3 linked regions of the Arabidopsis thaliana genome follow. The protein of the gene in region 3 interacts with the protein of the main gene of each other region in a pairwise test. Each region holds a gene or a part of one and is shown on either strand. Other genes may lie near its edges.

Evidence for each region.
Region 1: the proteins of AT5G45780 (region 3) and AT2G45910 interact in a protein complementation assay, tested with the Arabidopsis thaliana proteins (one large-scale study listed by BioGRID).
Region 2: the proteins of AT5G45780 (region 3) and AT1G64870 interact in a protein complementation assay, tested with the Arabidopsis thaliana proteins (one large-scale study listed by BioGRID).

Annotation. Positions count from the first base shown.
Region 1 is NC_003071.7:18,891,706-18,900,120, reverse strand, and holds AT2G45910 (U-box domain-containing protein kinase family protein), read right to left. Parts: upstream 6,092-8,415; 5' UTR 6,034-6,091; exon of another isoform or gene 5,761-6,033; intron 5,642-5,760; 5' UTR 5,602-5,641; coding exon 5,337-5,601; intron 5,245-5,336; coding exon 5,123-5,244; intron 4,994-5,122; coding exon 4,872-4,993; intron 4,735-4,871; coding exon 4,630-4,734; intron 4,451-4,629; coding exon 4,153-4,450; intron 4,059-4,152; coding exon 3,924-4,058; intron 3,717-3,923; coding exon 3,192-3,716; intron 3,009-3,191; coding exon 2,262-3,008; intron 2,095-2,261; coding exon 1,909-2,094; 3' UTR 1,593-1,908; downstream 1-1,592. Other genes in the region: AT2G45920 (U-box domain-containing protein), read right to left, coding at 133-237, 337-458, 537-758. UniProt on the Arabidopsis thaliana protein: Functions as an E3 ubiquitin ligase.
Region 2 is NC_003070.9:24,101,035-24,105,891, reverse strand, and holds AT1G64870 (uncharacterized protein), read right to left. Parts: upstream 2,976-4,857; coding exon 2,061-2,975; downstream 1-2,060. Other genes in the region: AT1G64880 (Ribosomal protein S5 family protein), read right to left, coding at 1-179.
Region 3 is NC_003076.8:18,565,508-18,572,697, forward strand, and holds AT5G45780 (Leucine-rich repeat protein kinase family protein), read right to left. Parts: upstream 4,400-7,190; 5' UTR 4,119-4,399; coding exon 4,001-4,118; exon of another isoform or gene 3,924-4,000; coding exon 3,791-3,923; intron 3,706-3,790; coding exon 3,634-3,705; intron 3,552-3,633; coding exon 3,408-3,551; intron 3,334-3,407; coding exon 3,262-3,333; intron 3,163-3,261; coding exon 3,103-3,162; intron 3,025-3,102; coding exon 2,951-3,024; intron 2,870-2,950; coding exon 2,723-2,869; intron 2,633-2,722; coding exon 2,294-2,632; intron 2,213-2,293; coding exon 1,821-2,212; intron 1,733-1,820; coding exon 1,439-1,732; 3' UTR 1,291-1,438; downstream 1-1,290. Other genes in the region: AT5G45775 (Ribosomal L5P family protein), read right to left, coding at 369-564, 652-694, 790-897, 987-989; AT5G45790 (Ubiquitin carboxyl-terminal hydrolase family protein), read left to right, coding at 6,838-7,190.

The sequences.
Region 1 (8,415 bases), on a different chromosome or scaffold from region 3:
ATGTGATTGTTCTCACAATCTCAGTTCCTGTTAAAACTCACAAGAGTGTGACAAAACACAAATATCATTTTAAAAAAAACTTCTGAAGTAGTATTTACAGTTGTACAGAGATTACAGGGACTAGGGGTAGACCTTTTATATACCAGGTATCCTTTGCAAGTAAACCATATACAACAAGTAGCAGGCGCTTCTTGACGAATGTAAATGGCTTTCGTGGACAACAGATCTGCCATCCTCCTACAAATTAAGATTAATGATGAGTCCATCGGTGAAATAACAAGAACTATGAGAAGATGAAAATCCAAAACTATTTAGTTATGCCGGTGTGCTTTGTACATTGAATAGCGTGTGTCTGACGCAGCTCCCATGACGAGCTTCTTGACATTGCGCTCTGAGATCAATTGGATGATCCCTTTCTCTACCGACTCCATTTTAATGTGTATCATCTCAGCACAGACCTAGAATATCACAATCGGCTCTCTTTATCTCTTGTATCATCAAATCACTTATTCGCAATAGAAGTAACAAAAACATACCTGCATTTGCCTGCATTTTTGTAGGTATTTGTCCAGGATCTTTTGTGTCTTTTCCTTTTCTTTTCTGTAGAGTGGCTGGTGAACGTGGACGATACAGAACTCCTTGCCTCCAGTGTTCTGTATCGCCCAAACAAGAGTGGACTTGTTCCCCAAGTCACTCCCCACTGCAACATATATCTTCTCATCCATCAGCAGCTGCTGCGAACCTGATTTGCCCATCATCTCTCTCTATCTCCATCTTGCTTGGCCTGGATTTTAGCGTTTAAGGCTGCATCGAAGCCTCATGAAGCCAACACTTTTCCCCTTTGCTTGGATCGAAGCTCCTATCTCCAACACACTCCATATGAGAACACTCAAAACATACCTCTAATTCACTCAAGAGAATAAACAAGAACAAACTTAAAATTTGCAATACGAGAAAAGAGATGACTTATCTAACAGAGGGAGCAATCAACAAGCAAGAACATTTTCTTATGTTATAACATGCACACGAAGTCAACCACGGTACCAATGACGAAACCTAGCCTTAACGCAGAAGCTGAATCATGTATTAAAATAATGAAGGCTTTTTGACTTTCAACAAGCCAAACCAGGAATCAAAAGCGACAGTATCTGTGTATGAAGAGAAATGTCGACATATTGACACAAATACACGAATTTCACAAGACTTTTGAGAAAATCCTGAAGAATACTCTCAGCATTTTCCAGGTTGGTGTCTTTAAAGGCTGCGTTAGGTTGGCTTACCTCAGTGCAATCCTGAATTTTTATACAGTTATGCCACTAGCCGCCAAAACGACCTGACCCCACTGCTAATTAAGTAAGATTAATCACAAGAATTTTAAGAGTTCATTAAAAATCACTATAGGCAATCCAAGGTAACTTCTTCCAGGTGGAAAACAAGTCTTACACGATAGTCTTGACTAAAAATGTAAGACTCATCCTAATTTTAGCTAAGCAAAGGCATCATCAGTGAGATCATGTCCAATAATTAGAGGCTAATCTTTGTTCTTAAGAGAGCCGAACATAATGGAAGAACAAAATAGTGGCAGTTCTTCTCACACAAACCGAATAAGCATATAACTTTTTTTTTCATACAGAACATATATATATATATATATATATATATATATATATACATATCCACATACAAATCTCACCAGCTTCTTCTTTTCATATATGACTGATATGGAGGACTTACACTATGCTTGAAAAAGTAAACAAATATGCTGCTATCCATGATTAGATCGTATGTATATGTATAAGGAAGACTGAAAACACTAATCTTACTCACTTACTCTGTTGCCTCCCGCAGAAAAGGCAAAAACGTTTTTTCATAAGAGAACAGGGATTGAGGGTTTGAAGGATTTTATTTTCACAAATGATGTTGAAGCCACTCTTGAATCGCAGAACGAAGAGCATGGTTAGCTATTAGGCTGGTGTGAGAAAGCTTGACATTGGTCATTGGTGAAGTATCATGCTCACTGTCCAGCCACGCTCTTATAGCCTCTGCTTCGTATGTGAAACCGTCTGCAGCCACGTGTGGATCCTGCATGACTTCCTGAAATATTTGAAAACAAAGCAGAGGAAGAACGGGTTGAGTACCATTAGACTGCAACATAACGGTTTGAGACCTCAGATAAGCAAATTTTAATGACTTTGTGATCGAAGTCTTCTCAGATTGATAATAATACTGGAAATCCATACTCAAATATACAGATTAGTTACCTGGAAAATGGGGCAAATGAAGTATGGAGGGGCTATCCGGTGCTCGTTACGGCCAAGATGGAAAGATGAAGATCCTCCACTAGAAGCCCTCATAGGTTCAAGTACCCTCCACACTTCAGTTCCAAGATCTGGACGATTCTCGCTGACAGTCTCGCAGCATCTCAATGCTAAGCGAGCAAGCTGCTCAGCCTGAACAAAGGGCCAGTCCCCTGCTAAAGGGTCCAAGAGGTCGTTCAATGTTCCATTATCGAGGGCATATTTCACTTCATTTGATATCCGTAAGGCAGGTCTCCCGGTCAACAAGCGCAATAAGATAATCCCAAACGAGTAAACATCTGACTTAGGAGTTAGCTCTCCACTACTGGAAGCTTCTGGATCCAAATAGGCAACTGTGCCTGTAACGTCAGTTCTCACACTTTTGCTTCCGTTAGGATGAAGTAGTGAGCAGGTCCCAAAGTCACTTAACTTGCTAACGAGATTGGAATCGAGTAGGATATTTGCCGGCTTCAAATCACCATGTACTAAGCTATGAGCTTTATTAGAATGAAGAAAGACAAGTGCTGCACATATCTCAGTGGCAATGCGCACACGATTTTGCCACGACAAGGGTGGAGAGTTGTCTTTGCAAGTAAGCCTGTCTTCAAGGCTTCCACCCGGAAGATACTCATAGACAAGACTCCACCCCTCTGGACATGCTCCAATTAGCGTAATGATATTTGGATGCCTCATTTTACTTAGGACATCAACCTGCAATGCCGCAAGAATAAGTCAAAGCTCCTCCACAGCGAACACTATAAAATCAAAACTACAGTAGAACTGTGTTTCAAAGTCCCCTTTTTCGTAGAGGCAGCAGTTTGTGCACAATAAACCAGTAAACAATGATGATGAAACTAAACAAGAAATTTCACTAATAATATGTCAAGAAAATACCTCCTGTTGATATTCTACAGGGCCTTGCGAACTGTTAGGATTCAACATTTTTATAGCCACCTGAGTATGACGCAGTAAACCAACGTAGATGCTTCCATATCCACCTTCCCCAATCTTCAGGGTCGAATCAAAGTGATTAGTTGCTTCCTCAATCTCGGAGAATGAGAAATCCGTGAAGTACTGAGGCAACTGTAGGGTTGAGGTTTCTGCGTGACTCCTTAACTCCTCAGCTTCTCTGAGTGCTCTGTCACGTTCTGTCTGCAACTCCTCTCGTTCATCCCTCAACTTTTGCAACAACTTCACAGCTATATCAAGCTTCTGGTTTAGCTTTTCCATTGTACCATCAGATTTTGCTATCTGGCTCTCAAGCATCGCTTTCTGAGCCATTGCACTTTGAAGTTCTTCCATGATCACCTCTTGCTCGTTTTTTATTGTTATAAATCTCTCTTTCTCTTTCGCTACTGCTATCTCCGTATCTTTCCTTCGCTTCAATTCCTCAGAATAGGCACTTTCTGATTGTTTAGCCTATAATAATTACCTATAATATCAGTATACTATAATATTTTAGCTGTTATTGGTGTAACTAGAAGCACCACTATTAAGCCTAGGGATCTCTCCAAGTGATACACTAGCGGTTCCAGTATAGTATATATCTCCAGCTAGAACATCTAGCAATCATTTCCAAAAAAGTTTTAACAGTGCCAACTAAATTATTTTTGTAAGGAAACTCACCCTTCTGATTGCATCAAGTGCGTTTTTTTCGGCTTTCTGACGCCTAAGAGTCTCTGCAAAAGCTTCTTGTTTTGAACTGTGAGCCTCTGACGTGGCTTTTCGGATTTTAACGTTAAAAGAATCATCCACCCCATCCTGCAATGATGGACAAATTTCCTGGACAGCTGAGATACAATGTTATATGAAAATCAAAATGCATTGCTTTTCCATTAGGAACAACATGGCATACCGGAAAACTGGAGGGAGATGAATGGCCAGAACTCATAACTGTTGCACTTCCCGTTACTTCACTGCCATCAGATTCTCTCTCCTCCTCATCAGTATTTAAAGACCCATCCGACACCCTCCCGCTTTGTTCAGTTGAGCTTCCATTGCTTACTAATTGTTGAACTGAATCGGTGCTCTGTACTCGAGATATATGCTGATGTTCAGACTCCGGTGTAGAGAAAGTTTGAAGTAGATCACTTGCACTTATGGAAGGACGCGGAGATGCATATTCTGATTCAGTGTCGTCCATAGTAGCTTCCCTGCAATGATAGTACAATATTTATTACTAATAAGCAGCCACAGATGCGTCATTTTCAATGCCAATGCAGATCTCGGGAAGCTTAAAGACTACTAGAGTAATAATTATGCATGGCTGATTCGTACAAGTCATTTTGAAATCCAAGGATTCGGTTGTGATGAGAAGAAGAATTGGCCAAACCTTGTATGTATCAAGTATCCTTTGCAAGTAAACCATATTTGACAAAGAGTAGGTGCTTCTCGGCGTACGAAGATGGCTTTCCTGGACTTCAGATCCGTCATTCTCCTGAAAGCCAAAGTATTGATAGAGGAAGCAAAACATAAGGATATTGAAGAGTAAGAAGCACACAGATCTACAGGAGTTGATTCAGTATGAATAAGTAGAGATCCCAAAAAATGCTTAGTGACTCGCCATAAGCATACCTTGAATAGTGTCTATCTGCTGCTGCTCCCATGACAAGTTTCCTGATTCCCAGCTCCGAGATGAGCTGCACAATTCCATTCTCGATGGATTCCATTTCAATAAACATCTTTTCTGCCCTGACCTACAATCATAAATACACTATCTATCATAAGGACACTATAATCGTAGTGCTAGCCAATGAAGTAAAACAAGTTCCCTATTAAGGGCATAACATCAACACTAAAGAAAAGGAAAATAGATGGAGGCATACCCCTCTCTGCTGGCATATACGAAGGTAGTCGTCTAGGATCATATGTACTTTCTCCCTTTCCTTTTCCCTGAAAACCCTGACTTCTTCCTCCTTCACAGCACCAACTGGAAATTTGGCGCCCACTAGGATGAATCAATGTGAAAAAACAAGATCAGTGACCACAAACAAGACTAAGTGGAAAAAAAGCACAGAGACAAGGTGTAAGGGAACATACTAAGTGGGATCATTTGGGAGGGCTGATGAACATGAATAAGGCAAATCTTCTTGCCTCCAGTGTTTTGCAAAGCCCAAATGAGTGTAGATTTGCTCTTGGCCACGTGTTTATCCACTGCAACGAAGATCTTCTCGTCAATCAGCCGCGAGACAGGTTCGTCCATAATCCCGCTCCTACTAGACCTTGATCCTGGGCTACCAATTCCGTGAAATCTCATGGATCCAGCTCTTTCACCCATTGCTGGAATTGGACTCACCAAAGCCATTGCTCCAATATCAAATCCGACAAACCAGATCGTTTGATATCTAAAACCACAAAACAACGAAACAAATTAAGAATATTCACCAAGATCACTCCGGAACACGAATCAATAAGCAGTGATTTAAAATAGCAGTTTCACAATCCAAAAGGGAAAGTTTCTAACCAGAGTGAAATTTTTGACTAGAGAGCAAACAGACACACTCGAATCGTATTGAAACCCTAGAGTCTACGGATAAGGAAGAAGAAGAAGAGGAAGAAAGAGTTTGATTATCAAATTTCGAAACGTATTGACCAAATAAAAGGACTCTTGGTCAGACCAACCAAAACTCACGGCAAGAAGAAACTGATATTTTGTCGGAAAATTTCACGAGAAGAGGGAAAGACAATTAAAATTGAGATTTGTGTGCAAAATTTATTCGATTTTACTTTAACATACCAAAACGAAGCTTCTTGGGGATTTGTGTGCTTTGCTGCTAAAAAATCTGACGTGGTCGAGAACATGAAAGAAGAGGTTTATTTATCTGCTGTGGACACACACACAGTAGTACTTATCTATGGGGTGGTCCACCTTAACCGATTAATGACACGTGTACCTGATTATGAGAAGCACGGATGAGATTTGGTACACCAACTCGCAGTCTTTCTTAATTCTCTATTTCTGCCGACGTGTTCACCTTTTTTGTTCCCGCCGGTGAAAACTTATTTCCATTCCAATCAGTAGAATAAATGACTTTTTTTTATAACATAATCTATTTGCATTTGATCAGATATGCATGCAATCTATTTTTCAGAAGACCCCAAAAGAGTTAGTATCATGCAAGATATCAATATTCTTCATGTTACACATATATGTTAATTTTAAGGTGCTAGTCAATTTTTAATTAAGTGTGACATAAGATTTATGAAAAGTTAAGCGAAAAGCCATTTTCTACTCACGAATCTAAAATTCTATAAAGTCTGAGACGAACAAGTGCACTATGCTGCTACACATAGATGACAACGAATATGAAAGTATTAAGTGCATCATTATATGTCTATCAAACTAAACGCGTGAGTTATAATGACGTGTTTTAGAAAGACTGGATGCATCAAACCTAATAGTATTAGGCTAATACACATGGATTATGCAAAAACCAGCAGTTGAATGACTATGTCTCCATATATTTTGAGGATCTGGTATCGGATTACTACTATATCACTCTAATGATTGTTAAAAAATGGATCATTGTACGTTAATTTGCTAATTTTGTTAGTTGGTTCAAGAAATTTGTTATTTTTTTTTTCCTGAAAATAGATGAGAAAAAGTCTTCTATTAACATTTAGTGTAGATTATAACATATTTTCAAGTTCATTTTCTGATAAATTAAAAACTAGCTAGTTGAATTGTTAATGTGGCGTGTGTGGTTGTACTATGTTATATAATGTAAATTAATAGGCATATTCTCCGAAATGCTTATTCCCTTGTCATTTTCATTTGAATTATATATATATATATATATATATGTTTCCGGGGTCGAAATAGAATTTTATTTGTTATTGAATATTACGTTAATTTTGTAATTGACAGGTTTTAAAAATAAAGAAAAAGTTGTCTCAGGATATGAAGACAGGCTAAGCACATCCACACCAGTTTGTTAACTAACCAAGTTATATATATAACTGAGTTTAATTATCATGGAATATTTCAACTTAGGATATACGATTTGGGGATGTAGCATCTCTTTATTCATTCGTCAAAAGCTTCACCGTAAACTGCAATTTGAATTTGTTTGTGCACGTTTCCGTTAGAGCAATAACGTTAATTGGATATGACTAGTCTTCACGATAACCGGGATAATGATGAACTTATAATAAATTAAAAATAAAATATATCAAAAATAAATACCTCCTTAAATGGGCAATATATGATTCACGGGCCTTAATGGTATCCATATAAGCCTGCCTGGTTTCCGAATCCAAAGTTTTGCTTTTCAAAAGTCTGAATCCAATAGTCTCAAATGTTTTAAGGACGTACGTGTCAACATTTTCAAATTGCAGGCTTTGTAGTACACCAAATATCACTCATACGATTACACACGCATTTTTGGCTTTTAGTTTCTTTCTTTCTACTTTAATGTTTTCTTTTAGGAGTATCAAGTATGTGATGTGATTTTCTTAATTAGTTTACGCTATCACCGTCTTTAATTTCCATGATAATTATATGTTACCAAAACCCTTAACTAAAATGATTGTGGTGATTAGACAGAGTTGTAATATGGCAACCGCAGCCATGCTTATTTTATAAGATTACACTAAATTTATATCTCTTTTCTGTTAGGTAGAACATAATGAAAGAATTCTGTATAACATACAAAAACAAAAACTATATGATATTTAAAAGTCAAAAACTAATCATGCATTTAATTACACATGACGTTACCATATACTTTTGTTAGCTTTCTAATCTTTTAAATTCCAGTTTAAGTAATCACAAGTCTTAGAATTCGGCGATGGTCCTCAGGAACGAACAAGAACAACGAAATATTAATTGCTTGCATATAACCCTCGGGTCGGAGTCGGATAAAACGAATATGATCGGGTTCCGAATGCTGAAAGCGATGCACAAAAAGCCCATCAAATCTTCACATGCAAATTAGGACAAGATACGTAGACAAAAAAGGCAGTGACCTGTGATAGAAGAATCCTAAGAAACTATATGCTTCGTATTCTCCACTATGTCGTCGTTTCTCTTGTTGTTATATGCTGAGTAAAAATACAAGAAACGTTGTCGGTTTCTTAATTTTGTTTTTGATGAGGTCGACATTGCGAACATTTGTTA
Region 2 (4,857 bases), on a different chromosome or scaffold from region 3:
GATGAGATCCATGGCGTTTGATTTACGGGAAAGAAGGAGGAGGAGTAGTAACCGGAGATTCTTCTGGGAAATGTTGATGTTGAGGAATCGAGAGTAGATATCTGACGAGAAAATGAAGATCTAGGGTTCCGGCGAAGTAGAAGACGAGGCCATGACGATGCTCGAGTTCTCAAAGACATCGTCAGAGATTCATCAGATGGAAATGGAAGATAGAAATTTCAAAAACCTTGAGAAGACTGAAATGATTTTTAGGGTTTTTGTGTGTAGTGTGACATTTATTTTACAAATGGGCTTCACTTTCACTCATGGGCCCAATTTAGTCATGTGAGTAAATCCTCCCAAAAATCACCTACAAGCTTATTTTCAAAACTTCATATGGTTGCAATGGCTGATATGTGAAAGGTTTATGAACGATATAAATCTAGTTTTTGTCAGGATTTATCCAAAAGTGCATCATTTACAGTAAATTTACATTTATTCAATTTTGAATATGACCCACGTAATAAATAAAAATAGTTTGTTCTTCGTCTTAACAACTATTTGCAATCTCTACAAGACAATATTTATTGTGTATTTCCTATTTGGATTCTTGAAACGTGACTAGGGTTTATAAATTGATTTGATGTGCCTTGATTGTTATACTTTGTTATCATACTTTGATCAATAAAGAGATTATATCCTACTCTATCTTGTGTACAAAGTTGAGAAAGATCTATCGGTAGGAAGTCTTCTATCAGAGGCGGCCAAACTAATTAGTGATGACGCTTTTGCACTGCTCTGCATCTCCAATTACTTCACTTGACTCATTTGGCTTCATTTCTCTTCCAACACACCTCTTTTAACCCCAGCAGGTCCACAAATCCAAAAACACTAAAAGATATCGAAAACTATATGTTCTCGATATCAAAGACTCGATAATATACATTTAAAAGACCTATGAAATGTGTTAAAACTAATCGCTTAACATTCGTCTGTGTATGCTTATGGTTCTGCGTTTATGGTCTTCTTTTCGAGTTCTTTTCCTTTTTCCACTGTCGATAATCTCTGTATTCATTTTAAAAAAATCCGGTTAACTTGGTTATTTTTGGCTAAATTCGATTTTTTTCCAATTAATGAAGGTAATTTGGTTCGGTTCTGTTTGATTTGATTATTGGTGAAAATCGGTCTAAATTTGGTATAATCCGTTTAATAAAAAAACAATTACTCGAGAAACCGATCCGTCTATTGTATGATTATCCTCCATTTCTAACAACATCAAAGTTTATCTCTTTGAATTTATTATCTGTGGATTTCTTGCACATTTAGACTTAATTACTTACTAAAAAGAAAGGTAAACAATAGAAGAGAGAAAATCTTTTGTTTTATTCAATAAATTTAATTGATAAAATTTTGTGATATCTTTCTTTATAAAGAAGAAAAATTTGTGCAAGACTACCATTTTTTTATTAATAAATTAAGAAACTAGCACTCTATATTCAAACTATAGTAATTAAACATGGAAGGTAGTTTATGAAAAAACTTGGTCTCTTTGTTAGTGGTGATAGTGGTTGTTGTGGTGGTAGTCCTGGTGGTTTTAACGTCAGTGGTGCTCGTGGCAGCATCAACGGTGGTAATAGAGACGATGATGATGGCGGTTGTCAATGACATCAAAGGGATCCTACTAAAATTCATTCAAAGGAGGAACCGACGGTGACAGTGACGGTGACGATGATGGTGATTTCCCCCAAATCAGCGTAGTATCGTTAGAAGCTTGGTTGATCAAAAGCTATTTATTTTAAACGTGTGAATTATATTTTATGTTGAGAAAACATTAGAGATATGGTAGTGCATAAAAATATTGAGTACCACTCTTGCTTAAAAGAAATGTGAAATATATTGGATATCTAAAGTCACCTCAAACCTCAAACTTAAGTGAAACACATTCCCGTCAAATTAAGTGAAGATACCATCGTCGAAACGTTACATATGGTTTCTAATTATTAGACTACAATATAAGATAAGGGATTTGACACCAGCAAATTGAAAAACTAGAAACTAAAAATCCTTATGACTTTATTTAATTAGATAAGACCGTCTTTATTATTCTTGAACTTACGAGCCCAAATATGCTTTCCATTGATCTTATACTTTTGTTTTTCCTGGCCGCTGAGTATACGATCTACGGTAACAACCGAGTCCAAGACCATCTTCGCGAATAGTGGTTGTTGCTGATGACCATTGCAATTTGTGTTGTCATTGGAGGAATTTCCACCGTCCTCTGGCATGTAAACGCTTTCGACACAATCTTCTCCATATATCTCGGTGAAGAGATGAATCACCTCAGCATGTGACACGGGAAAACCACGAGAAAACGTTAGAAATACCGTCCGTTCTTTATCAGTCGCGACATGGTTAGCGTTCCAGCCCCAAAGACCATGAGGAAAAAGAAATGAATTTGCGTTTGGAAGATTATCCCTAGCAACGATATTAGGCAATACGTTGATGCTCCCAAAAGTTGGATGAGGGAAACCGGGAATGATGAGAGGGTGGCGGAGATTGGTGATGAATGAGGATGATGAAGATGGAAGAACTCGTTGAAGGATATCAGAGAATATTCTAGAACAAATAGTGGTTAAAAAGTTCTTTATTCCCGTAATGGCAGTGTATCGATGATTGTGGATTATTTGAAGGGATATGTCATTTTTCATGAATCTCTCGGTGAGAGGGATCTGACTGACATCATTTGGGGGCTGGTCAGATTCAAGGCACCGAAAGCACAAGACAGCCTCGTTAGCGAGATCTACAATGAGTAGATCGCTAAAAACCGTGATGATGGAGAAAATGTTTCCGAAGCCAAAGTCTTCAAACCAAAGCCATGTGGCCATGACAAGAAGTGACTCAGCTGGTGGTCTTCGGAGTTTTTGAACTAGTTTAGAGAATATCTCTCTTTCTTGTGCATGGAAAGCATGTAGTTGTTCTACGGTGGGATGTGACATAATTGATTTGAAAGTGAAAAGAGATTTTACTGCAAAAATTTTGGAGGATGGAAAAGTGATGGATAAATTGTTGGAATGTATTGTTGTCACAATCTAATCGGTTCGTTTTATACAGACATGTGGATCACACTTTTTTCGAAGGTTATTTAAGATAAGGAATGTGAGGATTTGATTAGCTAAGCTAAATTCGTGTCACTCTATCTGGAAGTTCTACTATAACTTATAGGTTTTATGAAAGTTTTTAAGTAGCGGTTAAAAAATATTTCCAAGCTATTGACATTTAAAAATTTATTTTGTTATACATAATTTGACTTGTACCTATTATATGTAAATTTCACCCCACTAGCAAATTTCCTTGACTATTGACATTTGAATTCTACCTAATACATAAAACAGAAAGAAAAATAAACTAAAAAAAATTAGCTTATAGGTTAATATGTTTTCTTGCAATTCATATTATAAAAGTATATGTATATGTTAAGTGAATTTTACAAATTTATCAAAATCATTTTTAGTATATGGGTCTAACTATATAATGGGACACAGAACTTGTTGCCAGCATATATTATATTCATTGTATGCAGTGTATTTACATTTGGACATATTCGAAATTGTATTTATGATATACTTTAAAATAACTGTTTATGGTTTTTTTTTTTTTTTACAATCCCAAGCCTTTTCTTTTTATCTACCTAATTATATAATATTTAATGTGTTAATTTATCTTTTACTTTTTTTTAATTGATAATGGAAATTTCAAAAAGAATAGATACATTTTTGGGTGATTTTGAAATATCTTATTACCAAATTTGGATAAAAATTTAGTACTAAACAATCTTTGATTTGTTTCTTAAATATACCAGCCATTTCAATTTTATTAGTCAAACATCTATTTTTTACTAAAAAGACTATTTTAAAGTAACAAAAAAATGCAAAGAGATTTGGAATACAAAGTTTGAAAAAACATATATGACATCATATGATTGTTTAGATATATGATTAGTCAAAGTTGTTAAATTTCAAAGAATTAAAATTAGGTAACTCGTAAATTGATTAAGATCTATACAATTATTGGTTAAATTTACAAATAATTAAAGTCTTCAATTATTGAAAGAAATTCAATTCCAATGATAGTCCAATTATAAATACATAAGAGATATGTATTAATTTATTTGACCATATTAGATATAAATTTTAAAAACACATTAATTAGACAACATTTTTTCTCAAAATAAAGTAATTTGATGTGTTCTTTTTACTTATCAATTATTTTAAAGTTGAATCTTATCTAGCTTTTCAACTTTGCCTAAGCGGCAGTCTCCAACTATCGAAGAGTAGGTATGCCTTGGAGGGCGAATAATGTAGGATCCGCCTCGGATTTCTTAAACCCTTCTTTTTTTAGTGTGAAACTAATTACCTTGTGGTACTAGAGTGTATTTTGACCAAAAAGATAAGTGTATTTTGACCAAAAAGATAAGTGTATTTTGATGATATAGGTAACCAAAAATCAATTCTTTTAAATCTCTTTGCATGCACCACTGTATTCCTGAAACCGGAGTGCTATATTATCTCTATTTTTATAACTATATTGTTAACTAGAAAAATCACCTAAGGTGATATTGTGATCTTTACAAAGATTACTTTGACGAGAAATACATATGTAGAAATTTGATAATGGTTAGGACCGTTACCCTTATAAAGGAAAGGAAAAGGCGGAAAGAGGACAAATTTCTCGTCAAAGTCATATTCTTTGTAAAGAATCGATGCTATCACTGAGGAGTGGTGCCAAAGAAAAGACCCTCTATCACGTCGAAAACAAAACAAATTATGGTACGGTACCTAGGAGACTCGACTCGGATAAAACTTTAAAACTGAACATTCA
Region 3 (7,190 bases):
ACAGTAAACATTTCAAATAAACCAGTTAATCAGTTTCGAATCTAACACCCTTGAAAAACAGTAAAGCATTCATCTTTTACTAGACCCAAATCTAGCATTCAACCAAAAACTAGTAAAGGGCTCATTTTTAATCCAATCCATACTTAAAATTCCACAAAAACTATAACACTCAGCGAAAACCAAAGTAGTCTGCATTCTGACTAAACCTCACAAAACCCCTAATTTAGAGACTTGACATTTAGATGCAACTGAAATTCTTTTAAACATATACAGATACATGAAGAATCCAAGTACCAAAACCATTATACAAAGCCATTAATGTAACTAATTCAAGGAAACTTTCATCGCAAAAGAAACAGAAAACTTACTTGATTCCAAGATCAATGTGCTCTTGGATACCAAATCCAAAGCAACCAGTGTCACTGAAGTTCCTCCTAAGAAGCTCATACTCCTTAACTTTCAAACCACTCTCAAGAAGCTGCATTGCCTTCTCACCTCTCACAGTCACATAACACGCAATCTTCTCATTACGCCTGATACCAAAAGACCTCACAGTGTACCTCGCTGTATAACAAAAACCACAACATACATCAGAATCAAGATCAACACAAAATCAAACTTAAATCCCTGAAAGATTTCAAATTCACATACCCTTAGAGAAGACAGGGGTTTGTCCACTGAGCTGCTCCAACACCTATACGAAATAACCAAAAACAATAATTCAAATCTAAATCACTAAATCAATGATGGATAATCGTAAAGGTCAGATTTTTACAAACAAAATCGAACCTTGGAGGCACGAGTGAGACGATCACCACTCTCACCAACGGAAATGTTGAGAACAAGTTTCTGAACCTTAATGTCCCTCATGGGGTTCGAGAGCTTCTTCTCCGACGCCTGAGAAACAAAACAAAGCCGAAAAATAAACCCATTGAACTAAACACATTTTCATTGAATCGATCTACAGAGACGAACGAAACAAATACCATTTTAAGGAGATCAATGTCGAGCTAAGAGACGAAGCAGTGTAGAGTTTGCAAAGCCCAAAACTGCGTCGAGTGCAAAGTGAGAGAACTTATATGGGTCGGTACTTAGGGTTTCTTGAATTAACGCAATGACGAAATTACCCCTTTGATTTATTAAAATGGTTTAATGGGCCAATATTATAAAGCCCATAAGAAAAGCATAATCTTAAGCATATATTTGGCCTTCTTAGTTACATAAGGCAAATAGTCTTTCATTCGCCGAATCACTTTATTATGTATGAGTTTTAAAATTAACGATAGATAATTTTTTATGAGACTGTGGAAACGCAAATCTTCATTTATTTTTGGAAGAACAGAATAAATAAGAGTTATTGAGAAAACAAATTTTTACAGTTAATGCCATGACAATGACAACAAAATCAAGAAGACTAGTTAAGACACTATGAAGTCTATCATCGTGGTCCAGAGAGCTCAATGGCTTCAATAATAAAGGACTGCTCTTCATGACCATTACTGTAGTTCCTAGAGACACTTGGAGCTCTAGCTTCATACCCTCCTTCACACTGTTCCACTAAACCTTCTAGTACCTTCAACACTTGAGACATCCTCGGTCTTAGATTCGGATGTGGCTGTGTACAAAGCAAAGCCAATTCCACTACTTCCTCCAACACCAAATCATCAAACTCTCCCTTCAAATCTCTGTCCACCATCTCTGCAAATCTCTTCTCTGCTTTCAATGTCCTTACCTACAAAAACCAATGGTTTAGATTTAAGTTTTGTCCTTATGGGTTCAGTCTAAGTTGAGTAAATGACTCATAGAATTTTTTTACTTACCCAGCTCAATATCATTCCTTTTCGAACTTGACCATTGCCTTGATCAATCATCTTATGACCTGTTATGAGTTCAAGGATTAGTACTCCGAATCCGAAAACATCGGTTTTCTCTGAGGACTGTCCAGTGGAAAGGTACTCGGGAGCGATGTGTCCAATGGTTCCTCGGACTGCGGTAGTGACATGTGAATCTCTCTGGTCTAAAAGCTTTGCTAGACCAAAATCGCCAACTATTGCTTCAAAGCTCTCATCAAGTAGAATATTTGCAGCTTTGACGTCTCTGTGAATAATCTTTGGATTGCATTGCTCGTGCAAGTAAACAAGTCCTCGAGCTGCGCCGAGTGCAATGCTTATCCTCCGATTCCAATCTAGAGACGGCTTTTCTCCATAATTGTCTGAAACATGTAATCTTATAAGGAACTTTTCGCGTTATATATCGAAAGAATAACAAAACAAGAAATGTGTTAATTGAAAACCTCTCAGACGATCAGCTACGCTTCCATTTGGCATGTACGGATACACAAGCATTCTCTCTTCCGGGGTCATACAGAATCCAAAGAGGCGTAAAAGGTTACGGTGAACAGCTAAGCCAATCATCTCTACTTCGGTTTGAAACTGAACTTCTCCTGTATAAATCGGATCTTTCAATCTTTTAACTGCCACCACAGTTCCATTTGGGAGATACCCTTTATAAACCATCCCAAACCCTCCTTGTCCCAAAATGTTCTTTGGACTAAAATTGCTTGTTGCGGTTTGTATTTCGCGAAAACTGAACCTTTTCAGATGGCCGATTTCAAATTCGTAGTCTTGCTGCACTAAGAAATCCATAAAAAGTAATGCAGATTTTAGCAAAGTCTTGACATATATTGTATATGACAGACAGAGAGAGACTATTAGATATGTACCGTGTGATCTTGAGAGACGTGATCGATGCCAAAGCACCCAGAAGAAGAGAAACATTAGGGAGATGATAAAGGCAACAACAATGCCAAATGCAAAAGAGAGCACTAAGCTGTGATGTTTGCTATTGTCCTTTTCAGACAAACCCGTCGCTGCAGATCGATTGCAGCTAGTTAAATAAACGAAACCATGTTTTAAATAAAGTTTTGCAAAGAATTTTCGAAGCAACATACCATTTCTCACAGGTGTAGCATCTGAGCAAAGCTCTTGGGAAGCTGGACCACAAAGAAATGCATTTCCTACAATCCTAAAACAGAAAAGTTTATCAAGAAGCTTTCACATAAGTTGCAACGGCTAATAATCATGCATTTTTCGCATATCTTACCTGTAATCTTTTGCTGATATATTCGGAGTTGGTCCGCTTAGATTGTTGAAAGATAGATCCCTATTCAAGTTTTTCATAAATAAAAAAACATTAGTCTAAGAAACATTATACGAAATAGAAATTTCCTGGAGCTGTAATGTTAGGTAGAGTAAGACATACAAGAAAGAAAGACCTGAGAGGCCAGCGACGAGGTGAGGGACTTGCCCAGATAAAAGATTCCTGCTAAGCCGCCTACAAGACTTAACCTTGTAAGAAAATAACAATTGCAACATTAAGTAAATCAAGAATCTTTGCATCAAACTCACAAGTAGTTTAAGTGAGTTAAGAACCCTAAAGAAGCTGGGATTTCACCACTAAACCGATTCCCCGATAAATCAAGCGTTTCAAGCTCAGAGAGTTGGCCTAACTCAGAAGGAATCGGACCAGTTAACTGATTATTCTGAAGTAACCTACAATAATAACAAGTAACCCCATTAGTTACAACAACACATACTTGAATTCCAAGATTAACCACAAATTCATTTAACTCACAAAGTATGAAGATGAGTTAATTCCCCAATACTAGTAGATAGTATCCCTGATAATCCTTTACTAGCCATCTCTCTGCATTAAAGATTTCAATAAACTCAGCAAAGAAACGTTTCTCAGAGACATTTAGTCGAACAAGTGGTGTGCAAAAGATACTCACAGAGAAACCACAAAACCTTCAGAAGAACAACCAACCATGTTCCAAGTACAAGGATCAACAGAGTTAATATCCCAACCAGACAAAACCTCTTTCTCATCTTTCATCTTGTTCTTCACTGACATTAACGCAGCCACTACAATAACCCAAAAATATGGATTAAGTCAAAACCTTTTTACACAATAAAAGAAAGATCTTTGATACTTTTTTCACCTTCATAGTTAACACCCTTGGGAGATAAAAGACTATCCATGGCAGAAACAGAGTCAAGAACAGAGTAATAATAAACCCAGATTCCTAAAAACAGAAACTTCATCAAAGAAATCTCCATCGTAGAAAAAGTATAAGAATTCTCTAGACTTCAATGTTAGTTATCATTTGTATGCCCTTTCTTCTAGGGCAGACCATTTGAAACATTATAAATACATTAAAAAGATAAGTTTTTTTTGGCATTAAATTGAATCGAGATGAAGAAGAAGAAGAAGAAGACAAATAAAGAAATTGACGATTATAGCAAATGGAAGCGGGAAAATCCTCGAAGTTGTCAAACGATTGTTTCCTTGTCTTCTGTTCTGTAAGACTTTTTTTTGTTTTTATATCTGACTTTTGACAGTGTTAGTGAGATTAGATCCTCTGTAATCGGTTCTACGAGAACAATGGTACAACAGCACACTCTTGAATCTGATATGGTATTCCGATCAACGGCTTGATTTATCTTTATTTCACCATTGAAAAAGTCAATAATGCTCAAGACTAATGCTCGTATGAACGATATTGGGTTAGTAATAAGTTGGGTTAGTATGGAATAAATGGTGTGACACAATATTTGAATGGTGATGATTTTTGTAACAATAACAAAAAATAATTATCTTGCGACTAAAATAATTATCAAGTTTTAATTAATTTTTGATAACATTTCGAGTAATAGCAAAGTCTTCAAGCTTCAAGACTCTTAAAACATGCAATATAATGCTTATGTGCTCATGCACGGCTGATTTAGTCATTTTACCCTTTCTCCATAAATCTTGTTTAGCCTCATTTTACACTTTTTCGTTGCAATTAGGACATATAATTCCTTCATGTGTTAATGGTCCTCATTCCTCTGCTAATCGCTTCCATTCTCATACCATTTTAACATGAAATAATTCCGCGACGAATTTTCAGAGATCTATCCCAAAAAAACATTATGTCCTTGAGTTTTTAGTAGGTCTTGTACATACCGATACCCTTTATATCCTGCAATTAATAGTTCATTTGCAACTTCAGGACTATCCTTCGCCCAAGAAATGATCTTTGATTTGATAATAACGTCACTTGCTTGCTTTTCATCTACAATATCCACACCAAAGTCATCTCACGTAAGATTCTATAAGTATAATATTAAAGAACATTTTTCTAGAAATATAATATTAAATTTTTTTACCTGAAATGACTGAGGTAGAGTCGATATAGGTAGAATCAAAGTAACTGAAGGTACCGAGAAAAAGTTCATTAGGGTCACCAACCGCCTTAATCGTAACGGGGTCAACGTGTTTTGAGATACCATAATTTTCGGTATCCCAATACACAACGTTTTTGGCAAGTGTGTAAAAGGTATCCTTTTTTGCAAGTGCGTAACAACTATCCTCTTCAAACGGTAGAATTACAAACTAACTAAAATAATTTACCTTGTAATTCAGTAGAGTAAATTTTACAAATTCTTGTTTAAATTACTTATGTATTGGTCTTAAACAGCTTGGTCTTTTTAGTTTTGAGTTTGGATATAATTGATCTTGGATCTAATGCTTTCTTGAGTTTTTTATATTACCTATGTTAGTATGTTTGCATTTCTGCTACTGATCTCAAATCATTGTAAAATCTCTCATACATATCATTTAGAATGTGGGTAAAATTATACTATGAAATAGTAATAAAAGCGCAAATATATCATAAAGCAAAAATGTGAACGATAAGATGATCCAAACTAAATTCGAAATGGTATCAAAGTGGCAAAGACGGTCTATGGCATAATTCACCAAAGCCACTGCTTACGACATCATTAAAAATATAGAATTATTTTCTGAATATTGGTTAGGTTGTGTATGCACACAATTCGTCCATGTCATATTGTCATATAGTATTTTTATCATTTTTAAGTTAATGTTTTGCTAATGTGATTGTTTTTTCATATATTTAAAGATTTTGAACCATATATTATTTTGTAAAGTCACGTGGATCCACCATTTTTCGTAGGTGCATGAAATAATTTGAACAAAACTTACAAATATTAGTTTTGTAATTAAAATAAAAGATATTTTTAAATTTATAGTGTTAGCATCTTTCAATCATTTATGAAAATTAAATAATAAAATAAATATTGTATTATTTATTTTTTCTAAATATCAAATAAAACATTTTTTTATACAGTAAATTACAATTTTTTTCTTTTAAACTTGTTTGTTAAGTTTTATATTTTTGATTTCGCTTTAGGGAATTATAGATGTTTTGACTAATTTAATAGTTAAGTGTATTGAATAATAACTCGAGCAATTAAATTAACCATTAGATCACATCTCGTCCAAATCGTTGAGTTACCACAGAAACTTGAGATCAAGTGTTTGAATCTATCTCGGTACCCACTTCTCTTCTCTCTTCCTCTCTCTCTCTCTCATGTTGTTACGTAAATGATTTGGAGATTAAACTAAAATTATTATAATTTGAACAATTTTATTATTAGAGAAGCAATTTCTTTTTTCTCCTAGTGAATTATTATTATTGAAGTGATTAAACTAGTGTTTTCTACACCTATAAATAATGTTTTGCAGATGTAATTTGAATCATTTGATCAGTTAACGCAAATACCTAAACAAGAGTCCTAAGCTTCGCCGCCCGATAATAATGTATGATTTGATGCCACGTCAACAAAATACCATTCAAATTCGGTTTGATAAATTTCGGTTCGGTTCAGGTAAAAACCGTTTGGTTCGACCAGCCTTAAAAACCGAACCCTCTCTAAACTCGTTTGTCGTTCTCGCTCTCTCTCCGCCGCTTTCTCTCTAAAATGGTGATCGATGTTCGAAAAATGTTTCCTTTTTCCCGAAATTCACAGTAAAAAAGATATGAATTCTCTAAAATCTTTGAGATACAGTAGCATTAGAGAAGCTTTGACACATCAAAACCCAACAAAGTCTTCATTTTTATGCCCACTTTACTTCTACAATCAACGAAGATGGTTAAAGCCTGTAGATTCAGCACAAACAAGGTTAGAGAATCGAACAAGAGATCATCAATTAGACAAAATCATTCCCCAGATTAGGAAACTAAACATCATCCTCGAGATTTCAAAACTCATGTCTAGCAAAAAGCGTGGTCCTTTTGTTTCTTTGCAGCTTATGTCTAGATGGAAGAATCTCGTTGGTTTGAA